Linked DNA regions of Struthio camelus. The protein of the gene in region 2 interacts with the protein of the main gene of each other region in a pairwise test. Links are inferred from orthologs where the notes say so. Each region holds a gene or a part of one and is shown on either strand. Other genes may lie near its edges.

Evidence for each region.
Region 1: the proteins of HIP1 (region 2) and LITAF interact in binary tests that used the Homo sapiens proteins (3 or more experiments, as listed by UniProt). The link is inferred for Struthio camelus from reciprocal best matches to the Homo sapiens genes HIP1 and LITAF.

What each region holds. Positions count from the first base shown.
Region 1 is NC_090956.1:12,990,113-12,997,384, reverse strand, and holds the start of LITAF (lipopolysaccharide-induced tumor necrosis factor-alpha factor), read right to left. Parts: upstream 3,099-7,272; 5' UTR 3,021-3,098; intron 24-3,020; 5' UTR 1-23.
Region 2 is NC_090957.1:9,397,349-9,404,451, forward strand, and holds the start of HIP1 (huntingtin-interacting protein 1), read right to left. Parts: upstream 3,096-7,103; 5' UTR 3,019-3,095; coding exon 2,902-3,018; intron 1-2,901. UniProt on the Homo sapiens protein: Plays a role in clathrin-mediated endocytosis and trafficking. Involved in regulating AMPA receptor trafficking in the central nervous system in an NMDA-dependent manner. Regulates presynaptic nerve terminal activity.

The DNA of each region.
Region 1 (7,272 bases), on a different chromosome or scaffold from region 2:
CACAAGTATGCTCTCCAGTGGGCCTGTAAATAAAGGTGTAAGTTGTCACTTACATCTCCTTGAATAGAGATAGTTGCATTTTGTCCTCTTTAAGAATCCCTTATAGACTTAAAGACACATGAGAAAATGCTCTATGGAATTGTCTGTCTCCCTGATAAACTTTCTGGAGTGCAAAAATGATTATTAAAGACATTTTGCACCAAAGAGAGCTACAAAGCAACAGAAAACTGAACAGGCACCATAGATCCAGTGAAAGCACATCTGTTGTCTTTCCAAGTAGGAACAGAGGAAATAAGAGCATTTTATTTTGCTAGCTACCACTTCAGAAGTAACGCAATGCACGTCCCTAATTAAAGGAACGAGCACTGAGAGCAGCCATCCAAAATCCCATAGCTAATGGAAATACCAAGAATATACTTGGAGAGCGTAACCAACAGAAGGAAGCTCTGAAAGAGGTAGGTTTAAAACATCTATGTTAACTATCTGAAGTTGAGGGACATGATGTGAATTTGCAACAGTGGAAACAGTTTATCTCTAGCAAAATAAAATACAGGTAAATCTTAATCTGATAGTGAATTTCTCTAACAGTTGTATAGTTCCTGAAGAGAAACCAAAGAATCTCTATAATTAGCAACTGTTAAAATCAGCATTTCTAGAAACTATGCTAGGGATAAGATTAGCTCTAGCAAAAAGATCAGGTTGACTGTGACAATGATTATAGCTGACATTGGAATTCTGCATATAATTCCCAGTGAGGTCAACAAGTATATGTAACGGTTTAAATTGTTGAGTGCTGTGATAACAAAGTGTCAAAGCAGGAGAGTGCTTTAAATGATGGTATACAATTCAGAAAACTGCTGAATGTTTGCACACAATATGAATGTTGAAAATATTTCATCTCATAGAAAAAAATGTAATATTGTTTGCTAGGAAAAGAAAACTATTTCCTATACGAGCAGGTTGCATGTTCATAGTTCTTAATTACTTGTGCATAGCTAAGGCACAACAATAAATGAATTGGAGAAAACTTTCAATTTCTCATTACTAGCACAGCTGAAAAGCATGCTACTTGATTGCTTTAACCGAGTCTGCCAGTATGCTTCACGAGTTCCCTGTAAAATACTAAACGGAGTTCTTTGTGCTCTCCAGCTGTGAGGATCAGGGGTACCTAGGGCCCTGCCCTAGCTATAAGCCTTAAGCATTAATTGGGGACAGGTGGAAGTGACGAAGTAAGAGGAGAAGGTTTCAAGCAGTTCTGAAGGATTAACTGCCCTGTGCTTTCTTCATAGCAGACTGGAAACTTTCCCATGCTATAATTCTGCACAGATCAAGCAGCCCATTAGCAAAGACAAGAAACTGATGTGAATGAATCTACTTTGTTCTCCGTGTGATTTACTAAATTTGGGTTACAAATCACCAAAAGTTTTGCAAGGACAAAAAGTTTTCAAATTATGCTAAAAGAGATTGCTGGGCTTCTCTTACGGCTTAGAGCTGTGCTATTGCTGTATGACTTTTACCAGTCAGTTCTGTCATAATTGCATTCACACTTTTTGTACAAAAGGGCCTGACCTTTCTCGCTAACGTGAATGTCTTGCTGTTAGGACACTCATATCACACAGTGGAGTGCCCGTTTGTGGTTACGTATGTAAAACAAGCGTGTCCGTAGGGATTCAAGTATCTCAATGGGATTTAAACATCATATGAAAGTTCTGCCCCAGAGCCTACCTCTGCATCTGTTGACAGAAAGATTAGTTACTGTCATGGCCAACGTTGCTCTGTCAGACCAGCCAGACCATTCGTTATTAATAGTGAAGGTAAACCCCTGGTAGTACTTGATCTTGCACTTTCTTTTAAAAAACAAAACTACAAGGAGGCATGCTTAGGGTGCTCTGTACAAGACAGCCGCTCTGCTAATGCTCCAGACTGGCTAATTAGGATTCAGGAGCAGTCCAGCATCACCATCTAGACTGCAATTTTAGGAAGGCCTACTAAGACACCAAACTGTGTGAGCAGGGCTGCACAGCTTCCAGGAAAAACATGTCTCATATGCGGACAGTTTTGAAAGTGAGTACAGATCAGGTGCCGACTGTATCCTTCTAGGTACTGGGTAATATTTAGCTTGTCATTGAATGAGAATGGAAAGGGGACAACACATTCATGACTGTCACAAGCCCATGGCAGACAGAGTGTTAGTGCAGGGAACAATTACTTTTCCTCACTCGAAAGCCGTGCAGGATATAAACCAGGATCTGAACACTGTAAAGCGGGTGCTTGTGTAGGCACAAAGTGCACAGCAACTTCTGAACGCCTGTCACGCTCTATTCCCTCCAAGCTTCCTTGGCTGCAGCTCTTAAGACTTCAAACGATTGTCAAACAAGCTGAGAGCTGTTTTGCCAGCAACCGTCCTACCACATCAGAGAAGTGAACGCTCCATGGTCATCTTGCTGTGACATCAGTAACGATCAGTGCAGCGGAAGCCGGGAGGAACCCTATTTTGGGCAACTTCCTGATGCAGTTACGCCGTTACTATGCCCCCATAGGGTGATTTACTAAATATGGTGGAGACGGTGGGAACGAGATCGTACAGAACACGTTTGGGAAGGGATGACCTCAGGGGGAACGAGCCCAGCCCTGCTCGGGTTGGGCTCTTCGTGCGGTGCGCCCAGGCCCAGCCGGATGCTGTCAGCACAAACAAGCACAGCGCTGCCCCCGGGGTCTGCGGCGCAGCGGTCGTGGCGCACTGCTGCGGCAGGAGCCGCGGAAGGGCCTTTTCCCGGGGCACAGCTCTAGCACAGCCGCCTTCGCACACGCGGCGCGGCCTGGCGCCCCCCGCCCCGGCGGCTCCGTGGCGGCGCTCCTCGGCGGGCCTGAGGGGCCGCCCGGGCCCAGCAGCCGCGGGCGAGCCCGGGGCCCGGGTCCGGCTGTCGGGGCCCCGCCGGGCGGCTGCTGCCTCACGCCCGCACCTCGCCGCCGGCGGGGCCGAGCTGAGGCGGCAGCCGGAGGAGGGGGGGAACTTTTACCTCAGCTTCGCCCCGGCGAGCGCTCCCGGCGAGGGGCGGCCGCCGCTAACGCCCCGCCCCGCGCGCGCGCCCCGTCAGCCGCTGCCGGCCCCGCCCCGCCCCCCGTATAAGGCGGCGCGAGGCAGCCGTCGCGCCCGCTGTGGCGTCGGTGCGTGCGCCGCGGCGCGCGGAGCCCCTCAGCCACGGTGAGCGCCGGGGGGGTGGGGAGGGTGCCCGCGGGGGGGGGGCGCCGCTGCCGCCGCTGCCGCGCCGCCTCCTTTCCGCCCCCCCCCCCCGGGGACGTCTGAGGGGCTGCGTGTGGCCGCCGCCCCCTCGGCGGAGCGGCGCGGCGGCGCCCCGCAGGCCCGGAGCGGGGCCGCTGCCCGGCGGAGCGCGGGCGCCGGGCGGGGTCTGGCGCTGCGGCCGGGGGTCGCTGGGAGGCCGGGCGCCGCGCGGGCGGCGCCCTCGGCCCCCCCCCCCCCCCCGAGGCGGGCGCAGGTGCGGGCTCGGAGGGGCCGGAGCTGCCGGCGAGAGTCCTGACTCGATTAAAAGGTCGTAGAAACGGTGCGGGCTGGGGCTGGGGCGGCCCCCCCCCGCGCGGGGCCCTGCGGTCTGGGAGGCTCTCGGGAGCAGAGTATGAAACCCGCTTCGGCGGTGGGAGAAGCGTGTGGGAGCTGTGTAGCTGGCATTAGACAGAGCCGTTAAAAAGAGTGGCGCCTTTCGATTTAACGTTTGTTTAAAACAATTTAATGTTGCCGTTTCAGCAAATTTGCTAATATGTCGGGAATTAAGCTATGACATGGGATGTACGTATACATAGCATGTTACCTCTGATGACTGAAGTTCAGGAGCGATGGTGTCATCTCATCCGGACAGGCTTTTCAGTAGAGCTAGCCGTGGATACAACAAATTATGAATATAAATGAAGAGCGTGACGGCCACTTTTTCTTGTGGTTGCTTCTGTTGAAGCAAGCGTGGCCTGAACACTAGCAACCTCCTCCCAGGCCCACGTAAATTGGGCTGCTTGGCTCAGTGAGGGTTGCAGCACAAACCTGTTTCACTGGCTGCGCTATTGCAAATGTCCGTGAACTCTTGAAATTGTCTGGATGTATCTGGAAAACTCACCAGAGTGCAGCTCTGGCCTCTCTTCATCTTCTGTTCTTCTGTAAAATATTGACTTCCCTGTAATTTAACTTGGTGTAAAGCTTTAAAACTGATTCTTGCTCAACTGTAAGGTACTGCCCTACACCTTGTGTTGGAGCTAATTGCTGTTCTATTTAATGCTATTAGCAATCATATTTGCTTCTAATGTTTCTAAGTGTTGCCCCACTGCTAAGTTGTTTGAATTCTCCCTTCTCTCGGAAGACTGCCCTGGACAGTGAGGCCTATCCATAACCAGTGAGCTGCAGAAAAGCCTCCTTTAGCCTTCTTCCCTTCTCTTTTATTCCCTATCATAAGTATAATAAGGGATGGGGGGGAGGAAACTTGCCCTGAAGGATTCTACTGCTTGGCAGCTCCTTGCTTCTAAAATAACCTTTGACCAAGTCCCAGTTTGTATCATAAAGAACTATCATTAAACTGTAGCTAATTGAGAAGAATGGTGATCTTGCTTTTTTTGAAAGTAAAAAAGCCCTCGTGCAAACGGGTACAGTGAAGTTTGAGCACTCTGTATACCGAAGACCTCTAATGCAGGGTTACGTGGGAGCTATGCGCGCTAGTGTGCCAATGGCGTAATGACAGTTCTGATCTCCCCTGACTTTCTCTTCTCCTGTCTTACACTGGCAGCTAGGATGCTCTTGCAATAAGCTTGCAGTATGCCTCAAAAGTAATATTACTTATGGATTTTGTACAGTTGGTAGCATGCTTATTTTGTCTCTTAAGGATCTTAACGTGGAAGCTTTTTAACGAAGCAATAATCTGACTTTTGTTATTGTGTGGGTTGTTTTGTTTAAGTGAGAAACCTCTTCAGTAGTTTTATTCACGTTTCCCTTCTCCTGGCCCCATTCAACTTTCTGTAGCTGAAATATTGCAATAGAAAGTATATCTCTTATATGCTAATAAGCTATTTCCTTATAAGATACTGGTATTTGCACGTTAAATGTACTGCTGGAGCACTTTGATATGTTTGGGTGAGCTGTACTGGATTTACTTTTGAAGCTTCTTCCTATAGCCTTGGTTTCTAATTTAGCAATAATTCTGCAGAAATGTGCCTACCGGTATTAACTGCAATTAACTTGGCAGCAGAATGCCTGTGACCATGGAAAAAATGGGTTTAGAAACTGTCAAGCCAGCCTTGAGTAGAACTTGCTGCTAGTAGCCTCCTGCAATTTAAACCGGTTTCCTGTTTGTCCTTTTGTTATAGTTTCTGGCTTAATAAAACTAGGGAAAAGTTCTGAGTGGAAGCGGTGCTCATCAAAAACACAAAAACAAAATCCAAAAAACTGTTATTTCTAGAAGAGTGACCTACGGAGCTGATGTTTTCGTTGTCTGATTGCTGTAAGAACTGAGATTAGGCAGTTACCCACCAGTGAATCTGACTAATCTTGCTAACGAGTCTAGAGAGATTTAGCAAGTCTTGCTAATCTTGCTTAGATGTTTACTTTGAGGGAAAGTGGGGCGGGAAAGGAAATGACACTAGAGATGCCACCAAATATAAATGGATGGAGCTATATATTCGAAGGAATTGCTCTCTCAACATCTTATGAAGTGGTGAGTGAAGTCAGTGCTGCGCCTGGTGTGCTTATGAGCTTTCTTAATGCAGGTATGTTTTAAGAACAAAACAGTCCGGAAGCTGGTTGTAAGCTCCTCCAGATGAATTGAAGATCTACAGAATGCAGTATTTCTACAGTCTAGAAAGACTGAAGACTCTGAAGACAGCTTAGTTTTGATTGACTCAATTCCTGGTGGAAAGAGGAGTTTGGAGTTGCATATATAGAAAACAAACAAGCAAAAAAAATTAGAGGCCGCCTTGGTAGCTCTTACTAGTATAGTTACAACGTGCAAGGGTACCACACTTGGGTACAGAATTAGAGCTAAAGTTCTCCTGCAGCCTTAGGTATATAGTGACTTAAAGGCAGAAAAATAGCAAACAAGACTGCATCCGAAGCTGATAAAATAACACTCACTGCTACCATCACAGTTACTACCATGCACCATTAACTAGGTGCTTTTACCATTGTGAAGTTGTACAGATGCTTAATATCTGACTCTATATAGGGTGCTGGCTCCAGACTGCTTGAGTGGGAATACAAGGATATGCCTATGTAAAGATGAACTTCTATGCTTTACCATTGTATCACTGAGAAGTGGGAGCTCAGGGAGCTGTTTTGAGAAAGTGACCTTGAATTTTATCCATCTTTCCTTTTTGTAGAAGGTAAATATCTGTGGACACATTTTTCCAAAAACATGTAGGCTTCCGCTCTCCTATAACTCTGAGCATTAAGTATAGTGTGGTACCAAGATGCGAGGAGCTTTCTGGATAGGAGCTAGAAAGGGCTTCTTGATGCAACCTGATTATCCTGGCAGTATTAATGTGAGATCACACTCCTGTTTCCCTACCTAGAGAAATGGAATTACTTGGATGATGCATCCTAAGGGAGTTGTGCCCTTCTCTCACATCTGAATCTGACCTGGATCCTTTGAATTTTTTATCAAGCCAGAAAGCAGTCAGCTTTAAACAAACTAGAGACCTAAGGATCTGGCCAAGAAAGATAGGGGTCTGTAAGTAGCTGTGTACGCTGAAAATTTGGACCCTTGTTTAATAAGGGTAAATCAGTCTTGTACATCCTGGAGGTCCTAGTTCTCTACCTTGTCATCTCAAAACAAAATCACTTCAGATATAAGAGAGCCTAGCCCAGCTAGAAATAACTTTTATATTATAAACAGAGTGAGCATTCACGTATAACATCCTGCTCAAAGACAAGTCCTGCAACTTTCTGTTGTATTTTTATCTACTGCTGTTAACATCTCAGTCTGCTCAAAAGAGCTTTTCTAGTTAGTTGATTATATTAAATACAAATGACCCTTTAGACCAGAACGATAATTACTTTAAACAAAAATACAATGAGAGCACAACTGTGGCAAAGTCAAAGAATATTAATAAGGCAGAGTTTGCTGCGGAGAGTTTGCTGAAAGGTTTTGGGGGTTATTGAGAGAGGGAACACTGTGCTTAGGGTGGGAAAAGGTTTAACATTAGGACTTGTTCAAAAGGTAGGGGTTGGGTTTAAATTGTCTCACAACTTCATGTAAGCAGTAGCAGTGCTATTAAACAGCA
Region 2 (7,103 bases):
CTAAAACCAGGTAAGTCTTATCCAGGCTAATACAAGGCCCATTTTGACATGTCTTCTGCACGTGGAGGATCCTTTAGCCAGAATATTCTTCCTCACCAGGGCTCTACTGTTATGAGACAGGCAGGTTTGGAGGGAAGGAGGGAAGGAGCTTGTGCATAAGGAAATACAAGAAAAATCCTCATTTTAGAAATCCTTTAAGAGAAGAAACTTTTGTGAAAAAAATCATTTCCAAATAAAGAAACATTAGATTTTATTTAAAAAAAAGCTAAAGAAATTAGTTTCAAATTGTGGATGCCCAATGTGTGCAAGATCAGAGGGGGGCCTGGCAAGTTCCTTAAACTGGAGGGAAATAGGCAAAAAATGAAGGTAAAAGACAGGAAATTGCTCAGAGCTGAATACATTGAAGCTGAAGAAATAAAAGACCTGAAGAGACTGAGCTAGCATTTCAGGAGAGACAGGTGGTGCCGGGATAGCACCTCCTAGAAACACATGCTGTGTCACTTGTCTGCAAATTACACGGGAAAATTAAATTTAGATCGTATGGATGTTCCAAGCTTTGCAAAGACTGCGGTGCTGCTGGCACTCAGTCCAGTCCTCGGGTGCTGTGCCGCGAACGCTGCTCCCCGCAGCCAAACTGTTAGCCCTCTCCTAATTATCACCTTCTGGGTGGGAAGCAAAGGCTCCCGAGGGTCCCGAGGGAATACACTGCGTCTTTGAAGTGGAGATCCCATTAGCCCATGCAGCATGGGGTCATTTACTGACAAATGGGACTTGCTGTTCCTTGTTAGTTGCAGGAAGACTGTTCAACTCCAAAATGAAGAGGCTTTTGCTGTTTCCTTATCCTGTCAAAGGGCTGTCAGCGCTTAAGAAGGCAGACAACTGCACGCACTGCCTTTAGAGTTCAAAACTAGTCCTAGTTCCACCTTTAGCACTATAAATAATTAATTTTCTGGGTAATTTAAGCAAGGAACATGAGAAGGCTCCCTATGCATAACTGCACGTTCAACCTTAAATCTTCTTGTTTCTCTTTCTGTAAAAAACTCAGAGTTGATCCTTGTTCTTTACCACCTAGCCATTAAGCCACACGCCATTCCCACTCAGCAGTGCTATAGCCTTGCGTGGGATGCCAGCTTTATCTGTGTCTTTCCAGGTCATATAGCCTCCTCTTCTCCACCCTCAGAGCCATCTAACCCCTTCCTGAACCACCTCTACTCCTTTCCTGCCTTAGTTTTACTTCCTCTTCCCCTTGAGGGGCCAGATTCTTTGCTTCCTCACACCTCCCACATTCGCTTACAGCAGTGACTGTAGAGTGGGAGTAAAATGTTAGTAGATCATTAGTGCCATCAAAATGGCACCAATATGCATTTACTTTCTATGATTTCACAAAGTGCAGAACAGAGGCATGCTGTCCCCAGCCCTGCTTCCCGTTTCCATTACATTTACATACACAATCCTTTCAAGCATCTCCTTTCCCTGAAACTGCCCGCTTTTCCCCCAAAGCGCCCACGTGCCCCCTCCCCACCTCCTGCCCGCAGCCCCCCCCCATCCCATGGGCACTCCCAGGCAAAGGGGCGCACTCCACTCCGTGCTGCATTTGAAGGATTGTCTCGCTCCCAACTCCAGAGCCACAAGCTCTGCAAGGCAGAGGGTTATTTACCATATACAATTATAGAGTTGCATAAGATACAAAAGATCCCAAAGCAAATAACAATGCGCTGGGGCAATGGCACAACCCATACGCAGCTGACCAGCAAGCCCGGCCAACACTAGCCCTTCTGTGCAAGACAAAGTGCACATTCTGCACACGCACGCCCCCAGGAAGAACCAGAGAAAAGTGGCTTTTATGTTAGTGTTTTGTACGAATCTAAATGTTTAAGTAAGAACATTACAGAAGCAGCAGGCGCATGAATCCTTCAGCCTTGAGTCTCCTAATGAGTTCTGGAAAGTGCAAGCTACTGAACCAAATACTCCCAGCAGACGGGCAGATAGGATCTGAGCCACCCTATGACAGGAAGCATAGGTGAAATATAAAAAGGCCCTCAAACTGCCTCAACTCTAAACATATGCTCTGGAAGCTGATGGTGAAAAAAACCATGTCTTCTTTTAAACACATCACCTGCCTTTTCCTAGGAGCCACATAAAGGCCCCTAGGGCCTGTCCTAGGGCTGTCCCTGCAGCCTGCACCCTCCCTTTCTACACCAACAGGACGGTTTGGGCAGGTGCCTGCGAGCACCACGGCGGGTCCCTCCAAGATAACAAACACCTAGCACGGTCACTAAACCCGCTTGCGGTGCCTGTCTCCAGCCTAAACAACAAAGAGGCTCTTGCAGCGCTAAGGGCGTTCATGGAGAACACGATCCAAGCCCCCGAGCACACAAGGCCGAGGCAGCACCGGCACGGGCACAACTCCCGGCCCCACGGGCCGAGCTTGCGCCCTGCCCGGGCTCGGCGGCTGAACTCCTGGGCGCACAGGTGGAGCTCGCACGTTTTGCTCCCTCAGCGGCCACGAAGACGGCCAGCGCCAGACACCTGGGGTGCAGGGCCAGTCTCCCTGGCCCCCTGGGAGGCGCCGTCAGCTGGGACAGACCACGCGCCCACAGAGGCGCTGGGCCAAGGACACCACTGCCGTGCCGTGCCCAGCACACCCGTCGTCCGGGCGCCCCCACGCAGCCCCCTGGGCCCGGCTGGCTCCACCCTCCCAGGTCGGCCCCACCCACTTCGAACAGCTCCGCCCACCTCGGCCCCACCCAGTCAAGCCAGCTCCGACCACCTGGGCCAGCCCCACCCGCGGCAGCCCCGCCCACCCGCGGCAAGCCCCGCCCACCCAGGGGGCCTCACCCACCTGGGTCGGCATCGCCCGCTTGGGCCAGCCCCGCCCGCCGCCGCCGCCCCGCGCGGTACCTGCGTGCGCTCGAAGCTCTCGCGCTCCGCCTCCAGGCCGCCGCCGCCCGCCCGCCGGCTCAGCACCTTAGGCAGCGGGTTGGACACCTGCTTCATGGAGCTGCTCACGCGGTCCATGGCCCCACTGCGCCCGCCGCCCGCTCCGGCCCCGCCGTGCCGCGCCCTCGCAACCGCTCCGCTCGGCGCCGCCGCTGGCCGGACCCCGCGCCATTGGCCCGCCCACCCGCCATTCACGCGCGGGGCACGCCCCCACCCGCCCCGCCTCCTCCCCTGCGGCTCCGCCCTCCGCCCCGCCCCTGGCTGTCATTGGCCGCCCCCAACGCCACTCGGCCGGAGCTCCCGGGAGGACCGGCCTGAGCTCGCTCAGGCGGCCAGCTTCACGGGAGCACGGGCAAGCTCACTGGCCCGAGCGGATGGCATTCAACACCAACTCCCGCCTCCCCGCGGGAGCCACGCCCTCCATCCCGCCTCTTGACACCTCCCAGTTTAGCGTGCCCACCCTAGAGCCGTGGCCCCCGCCCCTCCCTACCCTCTCTGCTCTGATTGGGCACGGCGCCTGCCGCTCACACCCCGCTGCCACTCCCCGGGCTGCGCCCGTGGGCTGGCGCGCGTGGCGCCCCCTGGCGGGGGCCGGGGGCAGTGCAGGGCTGGGCGGGGCCTGGCCAGCCCTGGGCCCCGGGGCTGCCCCGGGCGCGGGGGGCCCAGGGCCGAAGGGCTCTGAGCTGTGGCTGGAGCTGGCGCGATGCCGGGGGGGGGCCTGGCCGGGTCGAGCCGAGCCGGCGTGGTGGGACTGCCGTGGGCAGGCGGCTGGGAGCCTCCAGCAGCAGCCGGCCTGCTGCGCCCCGTCCCTGCCCCGGGCTCTGCCCAGGCACCAGGCCACGCGGTTCCCTCATATACCCCTAGCCTGGCCTGGGCTGCCCTGGGAGGGGACAGCGTGCTCCCCCTCACCAGCTTGTCACAAAGCGTAAACTGACCAGGTAAGCGCTTGGAGGCATGCCGCGCTCCCTGCATGGCCCCGCCGTTCCAGCTCCTCCGGGGAGGGATGGTTTACAGGGAGCCCGAGGGGTGCATGTCTCCAGGGCACTGTCTTCCACCCCCTCACCTTACCTTTGCTGGGGTGAACTGTGCTCCCGCTATCCTGCTGAGTAGTCTTAGTCAGGCTTGGCTTAAGATCTAGGTTGGATTCGTGGCTTCAAATTCCTGCTTGGGACCAGGGAGGAAATGTCAGGGAAGCATGCCTCGGGTGGTTTTCTTGCAGGTTAGCCTTTGCCTTTGCAGGTCAGTGTCGCTTTGGACAGGGAGACCAGCAGCGTGCAGGAAGGCCCTGTGGGTCTTTGCCAAGGGGAGATAGGTGCTGTTTTGTCCAAGCTGTGGGCAAGGAGCTTGGGAGACGTGTGCAGCTGTGGACACAGCTGGCTGAGCAGAGCAAGGAAAATAGACAGGTCATTTCTCTGGTAACGCTGGCAGATGGGCAAAATATTGTTACTTCTGTCCAAAAAACAAGGAAAGATAAAAAGGAGATGTTTTTTACTTCCCCTGAACAGTTGAGAGATTGGTGGCAGAAATGCTCTTTAGGATAACATGATCTGGGTTCGTCTCTCTGGTCCGTTCACTCATCTGAGACTTGTATTGTGGCCTGATCTTTGCCCTCTCTCAGCCCAGCAAATCACTAGATTACCTGGCTGTGGCCAGCTCTTGCGGTTTTGACCAGGAATCCCCTTCCACAGTAGAGGAGCTTTTCCCACTAGGATGTTTGTCAGAACTTTCACATTTCTGCAAAATCTCCCAATTCTGACAAATCAGCATTTTTGCAGAGAGCCTGAAAACCCTATCAGGCTGTTCCCTGGTTAATCCCTGATGATGGTAAAGGGGGCTGTGCTGGGGTTGTGCTAACCAAATTCCTGGATTCTTAAAAGCAAGTCATACAAAATCGGCATCTTTACATAAGGAGTAGCTGTGCAAAACCATCCTGTCCACCACTGCCAAAAGTGATGGGGGTAATCTGGCAACAACATTTGGGATTTCTTCACATTGAGAGCTCTCATGCCATGAGCTCTTGTGTAAGCAGTTCTTCCCTGCACTTCTGAACCTTTTTTTCAGCTGAAACATTTGCCAAACAAGCACCCTTCTGTAGCTGGCCAATGGGACCTGTGAACAGGCTGTTTGTACTATATGTCTTACACTAGTTTGTGCTCCTGCCTTGGCTATCAAATTCCCAGCGGATGGCAAATGGCCTATACTGTGCAGCAAGGCCATCTCCTCCCACACCAGGTTGTCTCGACTCCCTGTCTGCCTTCTCTCTAATGTACTTTCTGGAAACCTGCCTCCTTCCTTGGGGCTGCTCCCAGAGGAGGTTTAATGGGTTTAGTTCAGTCACTGTTGCAGCAAGGTGATTAATAATTGAAGAAATGACGTCATTGCCAAATAGAGATTAAGTAAAGAAAGAAGAGTGGAGGGCACTTGACAAAGGAACACAAAGCCCTTCCAATACACTTATCTCTCCCACCCCTCAGTGTGTCCAAAAGCATCCAGCTCTGGCATGACCCCTCCGGCATGCAAGCCTGGATCCTGGAGGGCTGAGTTCTCATTAACCTTCGGATGAGAAACCACAAGGCTGTGACTTGGGTTAGCTGCTCCCTCTTCCTGAGGAGCAGAGTTGCGTCCATCCTTTCCTGAGCCTGTGCAGGACAGAGGAAGGTGGCTGGATGTGGGCTGCAACATGCTGTTCCTACTGGCTGCTCCTGTCTTCACCAAGGAAGGAACTGTGACAGGATGGAGCTGGAATCCAGCCCATGACAGTCAGACCACCCCGGGCTGGCTTAATCCATCCAGTGGCTCTGCTGGATTGTGCTTTCAGGCTCTGGCCCAAGCTCAGCTGCTCTACAGGAATTTGGGGGACTACTTTCTGGTGAGAGCAAGTGCCTTGCTCTTAGGCAGACTATGAGATGCTGTGGGAGAGCACAAGGCAGAGGGCTGTTCCTGAGGCGAGGTCTTTTCCTCTAGGTCAAGTGGTTTGGAGAGATGGAAAGGAATAGGACAGGAGGTCTCGGTGGGTGGCTTGGGCTGTGGAGCAAGGCGACCATCCTTTCTTTCAGTAGCTACCTGAGATGTTTGTACCTGAATATCTTCTTTAGGACGAAGACCCTGGGGCTGGTATCTGCTGGGACATGGAAAGAACTGTGGGTCCCCTCTCTTGTTGCCTCTAGGCCAACCTAGTGCTCAGCAGCACATGACACTCAGCAAGTGCTGGCTCGGGGTGGGGAGATGGGACTAGAGCTGGTCCTTTCCCTAGCTGCAGGGCTCTTTAGAACGACCTTCCCTTGCTGCTCACCTGCTCCAGGGCCCCTGCCCATAACAGTCCAAATGGAGGGCTGCTCCCTTTCCACAGGGACGTTCTTTCTCATCTTGATCCCAATCAAAGTTGACCCAAAGGCTCCATAAGCAAAGGGGAACATGAATGGCAGCAGGGGGGCCAGAAGGGACTGTTGAGGGCTGTGGGTCTTGACAGGCTCTGTTCTCAAGAACTGGGAGCTAGAGGCTCCCTTTTCAACCCTCCCTCCCCAAACAGAGCTGGGAGAGTCCCAGGGTGCTGTTGCAACACTCTTCACCCTCTCATGGCCTGGACAAGGCTCAGGGAGAGCACAGATCCCCCTTGTTTCAGCAAGAAAAAAGAGGCATAGAGAAAGCCACAGTCCTTCCTCTGTTATCCAGCTGGCTGTGCTGGAGCAGACGGGCACAGAGCTCTGTGCAAAGATCCTTCTCTTTTTTCCCCCTGGACATGAACTCCGAACCCTGTGTCCGAGCTTCCGTCACCATCTTAGACACCCTAAGACACAATGTGCTGATCCCACCAGGGGAGGCGAGCCATCCCTGGAGGGCGCATCTCCTGGAAAGCCACACCGGGGAAGGTCTGTGGCCATTTGCTAAGCCTTCCCTAAATACAATCATACAACCACAAATATAAGTGTGACCTAGTGACGGGGCTATTTGCTGACACCCAGAGACAAAAGTATCTGATGAACCAAAGTGTCCACCTGATGCAGGGGTAGGGCAGGGTGCAGGATGGTGGCCCAGGCCCAGTGGAAGGGTTCATGGGAGAGCAGAGCACACATGGTATCACCTTGGGCAGTGCAGTGCACCAGGGAGAGCCTGCACATGCATGGGTTTTGATCTTTTGATTCCATTTTTCTAAAGCTTTGGGT